Linked DNA regions of Macaca mulatta. The protein of the gene in region 3 interacts with the protein of the main gene of each other region in a biochemical or structural test. Links are inferred from orthologs where the notes say so. Each region holds a gene or a part of one and is shown on either strand. Other genes may lie near its edges.

Evidence for each region.
Region 1: the proteins of PLCG1 (region 3) and WAS form a complex in vitro, tested with the Homo sapiens proteins (2 studies listed by BioGRID). The link is inferred for Macaca mulatta from reciprocal best matches to the Homo sapiens genes PLCG1 and WAS.
Region 2: the proteins of PLCG1 (region 3) and EEF1A1 form a complex in vitro, tested with the Homo sapiens proteins (2 studies listed by BioGRID, with this or other methods). The link is inferred for Macaca mulatta from reciprocal best matches to the Homo sapiens genes PLCG1 and EEF1A1.

The regions. Positions count from the first base shown.
Region 1 is NC_133426.1:48,758,675-48,762,806, forward strand, and holds the start of WAS (actin nucleation-promoting factor WAS), read left to right. Parts: upstream 1-1,332; 5' UTR 1,333-1,388; coding exon 1,389-1,520; intron 1,521-1,817; coding exon 1,818-1,958; intron 1,959-3,084; coding exon 3,085-3,171; intron 3,172-3,272; coding exon 3,273-3,375; intron 3,376-3,488; coding exon 3,489-3,530; intron 3,531-3,623; coding exon 3,624-3,677; intron 3,678-4,132. UniProt on the Homo sapiens protein: Effector protein for Rho-type GTPases that regulates actin filament reorganization via its interaction with the Arp2/3 complex. Important for efficient actin polymerization. Possible regulator of lymphocyte and platelet function.
Region 2 is NC_133409.1:112,151,325-112,155,358, reverse strand, and holds the start of EEF1A1 (elongation factor 1-alpha 1), read right to left. Parts: upstream 2,801-4,034; 5' UTR 2,788-2,800; exon of another isoform or gene 2,150-2,787; intron 1,842-2,149; 5' UTR 1,812-1,841; coding exon 1,668-1,811; intron 1,314-1,667; coding exon 1,134-1,313; intron 1,014-1,133; coding exon 717-1,013; intron 634-716; coding exon 483-633; intron 396-482; coding exon 139-395; intron 42-138; coding exon 1-41. UniProt on the Homo sapiens protein: Translation elongation factor that catalyzes the GTP-dependent binding of aminoacyl-tRNA (aa-tRNA) to the A-site of ribosomes during the elongation phase of protein synthesis.
Region 3 is NC_133415.1:94,025,340-94,028,839, forward strand, and holds part of PLCG1 (1-phosphatidylinositol 4,5-bisphosphate phosphodiesterase gamma-1), read left to right. Parts: intron 1-1,684; coding exon 1,685-1,769; intron 1,770-1,874; coding exon 1,875-1,958; intron 1,959-2,191; coding exon 2,192-2,226; intron 2,227-2,436; coding exon 2,437-2,509; intron 2,510-2,612; coding exon 2,613-2,714; intron 2,715-2,949; coding exon 2,950-3,068; intron 3,069-3,150; coding exon 3,151-3,236; intron 3,237-3,310; coding exon 3,311-3,431; intron 3,432-3,500. UniProt on the Homo sapiens protein: Mediates the production of the second messenger molecules diacylglycerol (DAG) and inositol 1,4,5-trisphosphate (IP3). Plays an important role in the regulation of intracellular signaling cascades.

The DNA of each region.
Region 1 (4,132 bases), on a different chromosome or scaffold from region 3:
GGGGAGAAAGCAAGCCTTTGAAGATTATGTGCTTTTACAAACTTCAAGTGCAATGAAAATTAAACAAGATGTTGTTCAGGCATTCATATATGATATAAAGTTCCTTTTTTTTTTTTAAAGGGATGTGCTGGGCACGGTGGCTTATGCCTGTAATCCCAGCACTTTGGGAGGCCAAGGAGGGCGGATCATGAGGTCAAGAAATCGAGACCATCCTGGCCAACATGGTGAAACCCTGTCTCTACTAAAACTACAAAAAAGTTAGCTGGGCGTGGTGGCGCGGGCCTGTAGTCCCAGTTACTCAGGAGGCTGAGGCAGGAGAATCACTTGAACCTGGGAGGCTGAGGTTGCAGTGAGCTGAGATCGCGCCAGTGCACTCTAGCCTGGCGACAGAGTGAGACTCCATCTCAAAAAAAAAAAAAAAAAAAAAAAAAAGATGAGCAGAAAGTAATTTGGGAGCTGCAGGGAGGCAAGGGTAAGGGATGGGGAAGTGAACCAGAGGCATATGCGTCATTGGCAGTGTCTAAGCACTCAGGATAGGCGTGGATCACAGGGGCTCACTCTGTAATTAAAAGGAAAAGGGTTTTTGTTGTTGTGTTGTTGCTGTTGTTGTTGCTGTTTTTGAGACAAGAGTCTTGCTCTGTCATCATCCAGGCTGGAGTGCAGTGGTGCAATCTCAGCTCACTGCAACCTCCGCTTCCCGGGTTCAAGCGATTCTCCTACCTCAGCCTCCTGAGCAGCTAGGACTACAGGTGCATGCCGCCATGCCTGGCTCATTTTTGTATTTTTTAGTGGAAATGGGGTTTTGCCATGTTGCCCAGACTGGTCTCGAACTCCTGACCTCAAGTGATCCGCTCGCCTTGGCCTCCCAAAGTGCTGGGATTACAGGTGTGAGCTACTGTCCCCAGCGAAAAGGAAAAGTTTTAGTGTAGTAACCCTTCAGGACTAGGGGCCTTGGGCTTCAGCCTCAGGCTACCTGGGTGCTTTAGGAAGGAGGCCACCCAGGCCCATGACTACTCCTTGCCACAGGGTGCCCTGCACACAGATGTGCTGCCAATGGCTAAGCTCTCACTGCCAGCCAGAGGGAAGAGGGTCTGAGCCAGTCAGAAGGAGATGGGCCTCAGACAGTAAGAAAGGAGGAGGAGGACCCAAGCTGATCCAAAAGATGGGTCTAAGCAGTCAAGTGGAGGAGGGTTCCAATCTGATGGTAGAGGGCCCAAGCTCGGCCTAACGAGGAGGAGGCCAGGCCCACCAAGGGGCCCCTGGAGGACTTGTTTCCCTTGTCCCTTGTGGTTTTTTGCACTTCCTGTTCCCTTGCTGCTCACTGCGGAAGTTCCTCTTCTTACCCTGCACCCAGAGCCTCGCCAGAGAAGACGAGGGCAGAAAGCACCATGAGTGGGGGCCCAATGGGAGGAAGGCCTGGGGGCCGGGGAGCACCAGCGGTTCAACAGAACATACCCTCCACCCTCCTCCAGGACCACGAGAACCAGCGACTCTTCGAGATGCTTGGACGAAAATGCTTGGTGAGCTGGGGATCTCCTGCCCCCGCCCCGTCCCCACCATTTCTTCCTCTTCCTCTCCTCCTTCTCTCTCTTCCCCTCCTCCCGCTCCTCCTTTCCCTCTCCATCATCTTCTCTCCTAGACTCTCCTGTTATCATCCACCCTCCCCAGGAAGATCTCAATGTCTACTTGCCTTCCCTCTGGCTGCAGCTCTTCCTTCGGGCCCATGACTGTCATGAGGCAGGAAGGACCAGGTCTGGCTCCAAGACCTTGTGGCTACCCCTGACCAGACTCCACTGACCCCTGCTTTCCCCTCCCAGACGCTGGCCACTGCAGTTGTTCAGCTGTACCTGGCACTGCCCCCTGGAGCTGAGCACTGGACCAAGGAGCATTGTGGGGCTGTGTGCTTCGTGAAGGATAACCCCCAGAAGTCCTACTTCATTCGCCTTTACGGCCTTCAGGTGACCCCCCCCCCGCCCCTGACTGGACTTGCAAGCCAGTTCTCAACCCGCAAACCCAGATCTGTGTCCATATGTGTCCACAGTCCCAAGACCTCAGACCTGATCAGTGAATCCCTGAGCCCCAGAACCAAAGACTCATCCAGATGGCAAACTCTGGCTTGCCTTTCTAAGTCTGCAATGGCTGGCCCCAGTCTCCATATCAAGATCTCTAAAGCCCCCAGTATTAGTCTGCTGCCTAAGCCTAATCTTTTCCACAAATTCCAATAAATGAGCACTGTATTTGTACCTGAACCTCAAATCTATTCTAAACTCAACATTTTGCATCCCAGGAATCTCTCATCAAAACTCCTGAACCCCAGATGTTTGCCAAGCTCCTAAGTCATAAATCTGTTCAACAAACCCCAAAGTTGAATATTCCATTGATCCTTGAACTCCAATTCTGTCCTTTTAAATCCACAGCACAGACCCCAGAATTCCCATATTAAAATTCCTGAACACTCAAATACCGAGGTGGTTCTTAAGCAAAAAGTCTTTTCCACAATTCCCCGACCTGAACTTTCTAGGTTTAAGCCCCAAATTCATCCTTCTAAACCCATAAAGATGGACCCAGCATAACTTCCAGATCCCAAGACTGTCAAATATTCACCAAACTCCTAAGTCATAACTCTTCTCCACAAACCCCAAATTGCACTTACTTTAGCTGGACCCTCCGCAAAACTCCCAAGTCTACGTGTCTGAACTTCAAATCTCATCTCCAACTCCCAAATACTAGAATCCTACCTGTCATGAATTGGGGCTGGGGTGGCAGGGGAGGGCATGGATTGAATCTATGAATGAGCCTCAACTTCCTAAGACTAGAGTCCTAAATTATGAAATTCAAGCTCCCAAGTCCCACATCTAGGGCCCCGAACCCCAAATCCAAACCTCTCACAAAAGTGTATGGCTCCCAGACTATACTCCACATCCACACCCTTAGATCTCAGCTCTCTGGTGCTGAGCTGGAAATCTCCAAACCAGACCATGAGGCCCCCAAATCCAGACACCCTGCTCCCTGCCCAGCTAACAAAGGCCTGCCACCCCTGGTGTGCCTCAGTGCCACTGTGCCTCCCACCCTACACCTCTCCAGGCTGGTCGGCTGCTCTGGGAACAGGAGCTGTACTCACAGCTTGTCTACTCCACCCCCACCCCCTTCTTCCACACCTTCGCTGGAGATGTAAGTGACCAACCAGCCCTCGGGCCTCACTTGGGGTGTGGAGAGGAGATGGGAAAGCTGTGGGGGGACCTGGGAGGCGGCTGACCCCAAGATATGTGCAGGACTGCCAAGCGGGGCTGAACTTTGCAGACGAGGGCGAGGCCCAGGCCTTCCGGGCCCTGGTGCAGGAGAAGATACAAAAAAGGAATCAGAGGCAAAGTGGAGGTGAGGAGGCCGCAGGGGAGGAAAGGAAGTTGGGCAGAGGTGAGTGCAAGCATGGGGAACTAGAAAAGTTATCTCTCATGGTCCTGGCTCCCAATCCATCTGTCTATCCACAGACAGACGCCAGCTACTCCCACCACCACCACCAGCCAATGAAGGTGAGAACTCTAGTGCAAGTAGCGGTAATAAGGGGCTAGCCCAGGAACCTGTGGCAGGGTTGTGATAGCTCTCTACACATTCTATCTTCCCAGAGAGAAGAGGAGGGCTTCCACCCCTGCCCCCGCACCCAGGTGGAGACCAAGGAGGTGCGTGCTGATTCTTCCCTGTGTCTCTGGATGGATGGGTGGGTAGGTGGAAGAGTGAATGGAGGAATGAGCAGTTGGATGGGTGCGTAAGTGGGTGAATGTATGGGTAGATGGATGGGTATGTGGATGGACGAGCGGGTGCATGGATGTGTGGATCGATGGATGGGTGGATGGATTGGTGGTAGATGGCTGAGTGGAGGGATGAGTTGATGGGAGGATAAAACTCTAAGTAGATAGATGCATAGGTGAATGGGTATGTGGATAAATGAATGAAAAGGTAGATGGATGACTGAGTAAATTAGTGAATGAGTGAATGAATGAACAGTGAATAAACGGCTAAATGACAAATTTCAGTCAGTGAAGAAAGCATGATTGAATGAATACAAGAGTAAATGAAAATTTTAACAAATCCATTAGTCAATGAGCCAGTGAATGATAAAGCATGAGGGAATGAA
Region 2 (4,034 bases), on a different chromosome or scaffold from region 3:
TAGCCAGCACTTATTTGGCCTGGATGGTTCAGGATAATCACCTTGGAAAAAAAGATTTGCGTTCAGTGTAAATCCAAAGTCTCAAATGACTTTAGCCTCTGCAATAAGGTAGGAACATGTTACTTTAAAAATTGTTACCTGAGCAGTGAAGCCAGCTGCTTCCATTGGTGGGTCGTTTTTGCTGTCACCAGCAACGTTGCCACGACGAACATCCTTGACAGACACATTCTTGACATTGAAGCCCACATTGTCCCCAGGAAGAGCTTCACTCAAAGCTTCATGGTGCATTTCGACAGATTTTACTTCAGTTGTAACGTTGACTGGAGCAAAGGTGACCACCATACCGGGTTTGAGAACACCAGTCTCCACTCGGCCAACAGGAACAGTACCAATACCTAAAAATATTTACAGCATACTAAATACCTATGAAGGAAGATAGTACTCTACCAACTCAAATTCAACTTTGTTGACACCCAACTTACCACCAATTTTGTAGACATCCTGGAGAGGCAGGCGCAAGGGCTTGTCAGTTGGACGAGTTGGTGGTAGGATGCAGTCCAGAGCCTCAAGCAGCGTGGTTCCACTGGCATTGCCATCCTTACGGGTGACCTTCCATCCCTTGAACCAAGGCATCTGAAACACAACCATGCCAATTTGTGTAAGCATGAAATCGCCATTCCCAGAGCTTTTTAACAACGGTCTTGAAAGCCACTTACGTTAGCACTTGGCTCCAGCATGTTGTCACCATTCCAACCAGAAATTGGCACAAATGCTACTGTGTCGGGGTTGTAGCCAATTTTCTTAATGTAAGTGCTGACTTCCTTAACAATTTCCTCGTATCTCTTCTGGCTGTAGGGTGGCTCAGTGGAATCCATTTTGTTAACACCAACAATTAGTTGTTTCACACCCAGTGTGTAAGCCAGAAGAGCATGCTCTCGGGTCTGCCCATTCTTGGAGATACCAGCTTCAAATTCACCAACACCAGCAGCAACAATCAGGACAGCACAGTCAGCCTTTAAAGAAAGCAAAGACATATCCCTGTCAACTCTCCAAAGGACAAAACCAATGCACAAGACAGGCATTTCAGGGAAAAAAAAAAAAAAAAACAACCTAGAATTATTAATCCCACCAACCTGAGATGTCCCTGTAATCATGTTTTTGATGAAGTCTCTGTGTCCTGGGGCATCAATGATAGTCACATAATACTTGCTGGTCTCAAATTTCCACAAGGAGATATCAATGGTGATACCACGTTCCCGCTCAGCTTTCAGTTTATCCAAGACCCAGGCATACTTGAAGGAGCCCTTTCCCATCTGTAAGGATTAAGAGTTGTTACTTGGTTACTAACACACAAACTCCAGCTTCAATTTCTTTGCCCCCAGCCCTTAATTGGCACATAGTTTCCACTTTACAACTGCAAGTCCTAAGCAATTTTAGTCACTTAGATAGGGTTACAGAAGCAACCAAAAAGCAAACTTTTTAAAGTAGGATCTTGACTATTAATATCCAAATCGAAACTACTCACTAGCAATACGGTTACAGAAGTAACCAAAAGCAAACTATTTTAATAAGTAGGGTCAGATCTAAACCACTCACTAGTTCTGGGGAAATCACTACCACTTAATGATTCTGCTGGTAAAACTCATTTTAGTTCATCTTTCCCATACCTCAGCAGCCTCCTTCTCAAATTTTTCAATGGTTCTTTTGTCGATGCCACCGCATTTGTAGATCAGATGGCCAGTAGTGGTGGACTTGCCCGAATCTACGTGTCCAATGACGACAATGTTGATATGAGTCTTTTCCTTTCCCATTTTGGCTTTTAGGGGTAGTTTTCACGACACCTGAAATGGGAGAAAAAAACTTTGAACCACTGTCTGAAGCTTGAGAATAAGCCAAGATCCAAATTCGAAAAGGGCAAATTCCAAGGAGAATTACATCGAGCGCCAAGCTGGCCTAACTCTTCAGTCTCCACCCACCAAGTGTGGGGAAACTCCACCGCACAAAACCCCTCCCCCAAACCTAAGGAAGACGTACTCCAAAAGCTCGGAGAACTAATCGAGGTGCCTGGACGGCGCCCGGTACTCCGTGGGGTCACATGAAGCGGCGACCGAGGAGGGAAAGGCCCTTTTCCTTTGTGTGGGTGACTCACCCGCCCGCTCTCCCGGGCGCCGCGTCCTCCATTTTGAGCTCCCTGCGGCAGGGCCGGGAAGCGGCCATCTTTCCGCTCACGCAACTGGTGCCGACCGGGCCAGGCTTGCCGACCAGGGCGGGGCGACACACCGCCGCGCGAGGCCCGGCACCAGAGCAGGACGGCCAGCTTGAGACTCCCCCCGTCCGACTCTCGGTGGCCGCGCTCGCAGGCCCCGCCTCGCCGAACATGTGCGCTGGGACGCACGAGCCCCGTCGCAGCCCGCGGCCCCCAAAACCCCAATATCAGTGTGCAGATCCTGGTCCGCATTTATAAGATTATCTCGCCAGGAAAAAGGCGTTGCAGCTGGTCATCAAAAATTTTAAATGGCTAGAAACTTAGTGAAAGCAGCGGGGCAGGCGCGAAGGTGCTACCAGATTCGCACGCGGCAGCCCCAGAGCCCAAGCCAGGCCTCGACTCAAGCACGAGGCGAAGGGACTCCTTAAGTGCAAGGCCTCGACCTCTCCCACCCACTTCCAACCCGAAGCTCGGGATCAAGAATCACGTACAGCGGCCAGGGGCGTGTAAGTAATAAAAGGCACGCGAGGGCCATAGCCCGTAAAGAGGCCAGGCCCGCAGGAGCCACACACAGTACTTACCTGTGTTCTGGCGGCAAACCCGTTGCGAAAAAGAACGTTCACAGCGACTACTGCACTTATATACGGTTCTCCCCCACCCTCGGGAAAAGGGCGGAGCCAGTACACGACATCACTTTCCCAGTTTACCCCGCGCCACCTTCTCTAGGCACCGGTTCAATTGCCGACCCCTCCCCCCAACTTCTCGGGGACTGTGGGCGATGTGCGCTCTGCCCACTGACGGGCACCGGAGCCTCACGCATGCTCTTCTCCACCTTGGTGATGACGAGAGCGGGCGTGTGAGGGGGCGGGAACGCAGCGATCTCTGGGTTCTAGGTTAGTGGGAGTTTAACGACGGTCCCTGGGATTCCCCAAGGCAGGGGCGAGTCCTTTTGTATGAATTACTCTCAGCTCCGGCCGGGGCGGGGGGGGAAGAGGAGGGGGAGGGGGAGGCGACGAGGTGGCGGCCTGGAAGGGACGTCCAGAATCTTTCCTCTACCATTGCTAGCTTAGCCCCAAAGGTTGTGTTGAGATTAGGGTGTACCTTCGCCCCCCAATCAGCCTCCTGTCCTCAGCCTTGCTATCTCGCTAGTCCGTGACAAATCCCTAGAGCGTCGTCTTCTGCCGGTCTCAGCCCAGCCCCGGGTTGGCTCCTCCTCCGCCCCGGCTTCCGCGCCCCTCCCGCGTGGCAAGGAGTACCAGGCCCGGGGACCCCGAGGGGCTTGGGGCGAAGGGTCTGGACTGGAGGACTCCTTAACGGCTCACGGACCTGCGAGAGGTTCGGCTCGATGGCCGTGAGCTCGACGAATCCGCTCCTGTGCTGGCCTCTTGGCTCCTTCCATTCAAAGCCAGCTGCTTTTATCAAAGCCCGTAACACGTCATCTCCCCCTGGTACTCCAGATGTCCAGGCTTTCAGTTTAGAATAGACTCAGTCCTACAGTTAGCTTTAGATCTAATTCTAGTTTTGTTACGCCAAAAAGTTCCTGCGAGTGTGTGTGTGCCTCATGGTACTTTTTAAATTAAAAGGTGTACAGTCATTTGATTGCAAACATAAGGAAGCTAAAAAGCTTTCAAATTCAGATTTTCCACGTGATCTCATGTAGAGACTAAGATCTACAGCATCAGCAAGTTTATCCACCCAGTTTCCTAACCCCAACACTTGCTATGAAGTCACAGCTTCTCCTATTTAAATAAGTGCCTATTATATTTAAATAAGTGCTTTCTTTTTCTGTCATCCTATAGATTGTAACTGCATTTTAGCATAAATCTAG
Region 3 (3,500 bases):
TTTTGGCCATGTTGTATTTTGAAGATAGAGCCAGAAAGAATGTCCTTAACAGATTGATTTTGGGGTTTGAGAGGCATTGAGGATAATAGTATGCTCTTTGGCTCGAACAACTGGAAAACAGAGTCGCCATTGACTGAGATGAGAAGATCATGGGACGAGCCCATTTGGAGGGAAGCTCAGGGGTTCACTTTGAGGCGTGTTAAGTTTTCTGATGCCTGTTAGCTGTTCAGGGAGAGCTGTTGAGTAGGCAGGTGGTTAGACTGAGTTTAGGTACATACACAGTGGGGGCTGCAGATTTTAACTTGGGAGTATGTAGATAACACTGAAAGCCACAGGGCTGGGTGAGATCACCTAGGGGGCAAGCAGACCAAGAAAAGGGCAGGGTCCAGTGGCTGACCTCAGACCACCCCCATATTAGAGATTGGAGGGGTTGGGGACAAACAGTGCGGTAAGAGGAGAACCCCCAGAGTGCTGAGTTCTGGCAGCCCAAGGAAGAAGACAGTGGTGAAATCTGACCATTGACCCTTGGATTTAACATGGTGAGAAGAGCGGTGTCAGCCAAGTGGTGAGGGGCTCACGGGAATGAGAGGGAGCAATATGACTCTTGCAAGGAGTTTTGCGGTGGCGGGGAGCAAAGAAGAGGGCAAGTACTTGGAGAGCTAAGCAGGGGCAAGACACGTGTTTTTGGTGGAAGAAGTAACAGGCTGTTCGTATGCTGATGGGAAAGAGACCACAGAGGGCAAGGTTGGTGATGCAGGCAGTTGCAACCAGAAGGCCTCTGTTTCCTCACTGGAAAACGAGGACCCTGATAGCACCTACCTCCTGGGTGACTGAGGATCAGAGGAGGTGGCACCTGTACAGAGCCAGCCCTCCCTCTGCAGCGCTTGATCCACTCAGTGTGGCGCTCAGCCCCCTTGGGGAATTTTGGTGCCTCCTCCCAGGCCCTTGGGGCTCAGAGGAGGTGACCCCACCCTCCCCTCCCCTCCTTGACACCACCTTCCAGGAGAGAAAGCCCCCCTTCCCCCTTCTCGTCCATCCTGTTGCCAGGTCCAGCAGTGTCCCCAGCCTCACATCATGGGCAGGACACCCCTGGAGAGCAGGGGCCTTGTTCTCTGAGCTTCTTTCCTGGAGCCAGGCCCTGTCTAGCCCCAGGAGGTGCCCAGTTGCCAGTCATTGTATCTGGTGGAGCATGCACCTCCTCCTCCCTCCCCTTCATGGGTTAGTGGGTTCTGAGGACCAAACTCCCAGCATCCCAGTGGGCAGCAGGTAGGGACCCGCTGCCGTGCTGCCCCCAGCAGGGAAGTTGTGAGTGAGCCCTGCCTTCTGTCTTGGATGGGCTCACTGCCACCTTGGCACAGGCCTGAGCAGTGCCGGTGGGAGGGGAGGCCTGGAGAGTGGTTTTTCTTCCTCCCATGCCTGACCCACTTTACTGAATCTGTTCACATCTTCCTTGCCAGAATTACAGGCTTTTTTTTTTTTTTTTTGCTCAGATGAGGAACTGAGGTCCAAAGAAAGGAAGGGACTAACCTTGGTCACCCCATGGGTTCTGATCCAGTCTCGCCCTCAGGACTCCAGGTTCCCAGAATAGTGTTGTTTACCTGTCCAGCCCCAGGTGGGCTCGACCCACAGGTCAGAGGTCATAAGAAGCTGGATGAGACCACTGGGGATGTCCCTGTTTTCTCAGTATATCAGCCAAGGACCTAAAGAACATGCTGTCCCAGGTCAACTACCGGGTCCCCAACATGCGCTTCCTCCGAGAGCGGCTAACGGTAAGTGCCCCCCAGGGCTGTCTGTAGTTGGGGGCAGGGGAAGCCAAGAGCCCTGCAGCTGGGGCCCTGACTGCCTGACTGGCACTCCCGCTCTATACCATGCAGGACCTGGAGCAGCGCAGCGGGGACATCACCTACGGGCAGTTTGCTCAGCTGTACCGCAGCCTCATGTACAGCGCCCAGAAGACGGTGCATGAGCCACCTGCCCTCCCTCAACCCCTGCCCCTGCTCCTCCACCCCACCCCCCAGCTCTGCCTGCCTCAGCCCTGCTGCCCTGCTTAGGGGCTTTTGGGTGCCATTTCTCCAGTTCTTCTCCTCTTGAGGCCTACCCGCATCTGCTGCTCTAGCCTGTCTTCTTACTAGCCCCTTTCCCACATGGCCTCCCAGGGGCTCTTGCCCTGACCAGGTTCTGTTTCCTGCAGATGGACCTCCCCTTCTTGGAAGCCAGTACTCTGAGGTTTGGTTTGGAGTGGGGAGGTGGGGTTTTCCCTGGGCCCCCTTCATCTCACCACTGGGCGATTCCTGATCCAGGTGGGAGGCAGTGGGAGTAGGGAACCATGCTGGACCATTCTGGGAAGCTGTGCTGGCTGGGAGTTGGGTTCTGCCTTCCATGGGGCACCTTGTTGTCTGTTGACCATGCTAGCTAGCTTACCTTCTCTCCCTGCAGGGCTGGGGAGCGGCCGGAGCTTTGCCGAGTGTCCCTTCCTGAGTTCCAGCAGTTCCTTCTTGACTACCAGGGGGTATGGCTGGGCTGACATTGGCCCAGGCTGTCAGGTTGTTGGGGGGCTGGGCTCATCAATGACTGGAGGCTTCTCTCATTCCCTGCCCTCCCCACCCCATCAGGAGCTGTGGGCTGTTGATCGCCTCCAGGTGCAGGAGTTCATGCTCAGCTTCCTCCGAGACCCCTTGCGAGAGATCGAGGAGCCATACTTCTTCCTGGATGAGGTGAGTCCGACGTTTCACCCATTTTTTGTCAAGAGAATGGGTAGGGGTGACCAGAACCCCACCTGGGCTTCAGGAGCTAGACGCTTCTTAGGGATGCCACCTTGTTCCTACCTGCTATGCATCTTGCCCACCCCCAGTTGGGACAGAGCACTCTCTCTCCTACCCCCAACCTACCATCTTGGGTTGGACCGGGCAGGGACTCACTTTCTCTTCCCTTCCACATGTTCCTGGACAGTTTGTCACCTTCCTGTTCTCCAAAGAGAATAGTGTGTGGAACTCACAGCTGGATGCAGTATGCCCGGACACCATGAACAACCCCCTTTCCCACTATTGGATCTCCTCCTCACACAACACGTGAGTGTGGCTCCTTCGGGCCCACCCAGCTTCTTCCCAGGAGGGCCTATCTGACCATACATGCCTCTCCTTGCCTATCCAGGTACCTGACCGGGGACCAGTTCTCCAGTGAGTCCTCCTTGGAAGCCTATGCTCGCTGCCTGCGGATGGGCTGTCGCTGCATTGAGTGTGCGTGGGGTCCGGGGCTGGGGGAGGGAAGATGGGAGGCCTGCCTGCTTGACCATGATGATGTTGCTCCCCAGTGGACTGCTGGGACGGCCCAGATGGGATGCCAGTTATTTACCATGGGCACACCCTTACCACCAAGATCAAGTTCTCAGATGTCCTGCAAACCATCAAGGAGCATGCCTTTGTGGCCTCAGAGTGAGTCAGAGGCTGGAGGACCCAGGGGTTAACTTGGCTCCAGCTCTCTCATTCTAGAGGGACAGAGGG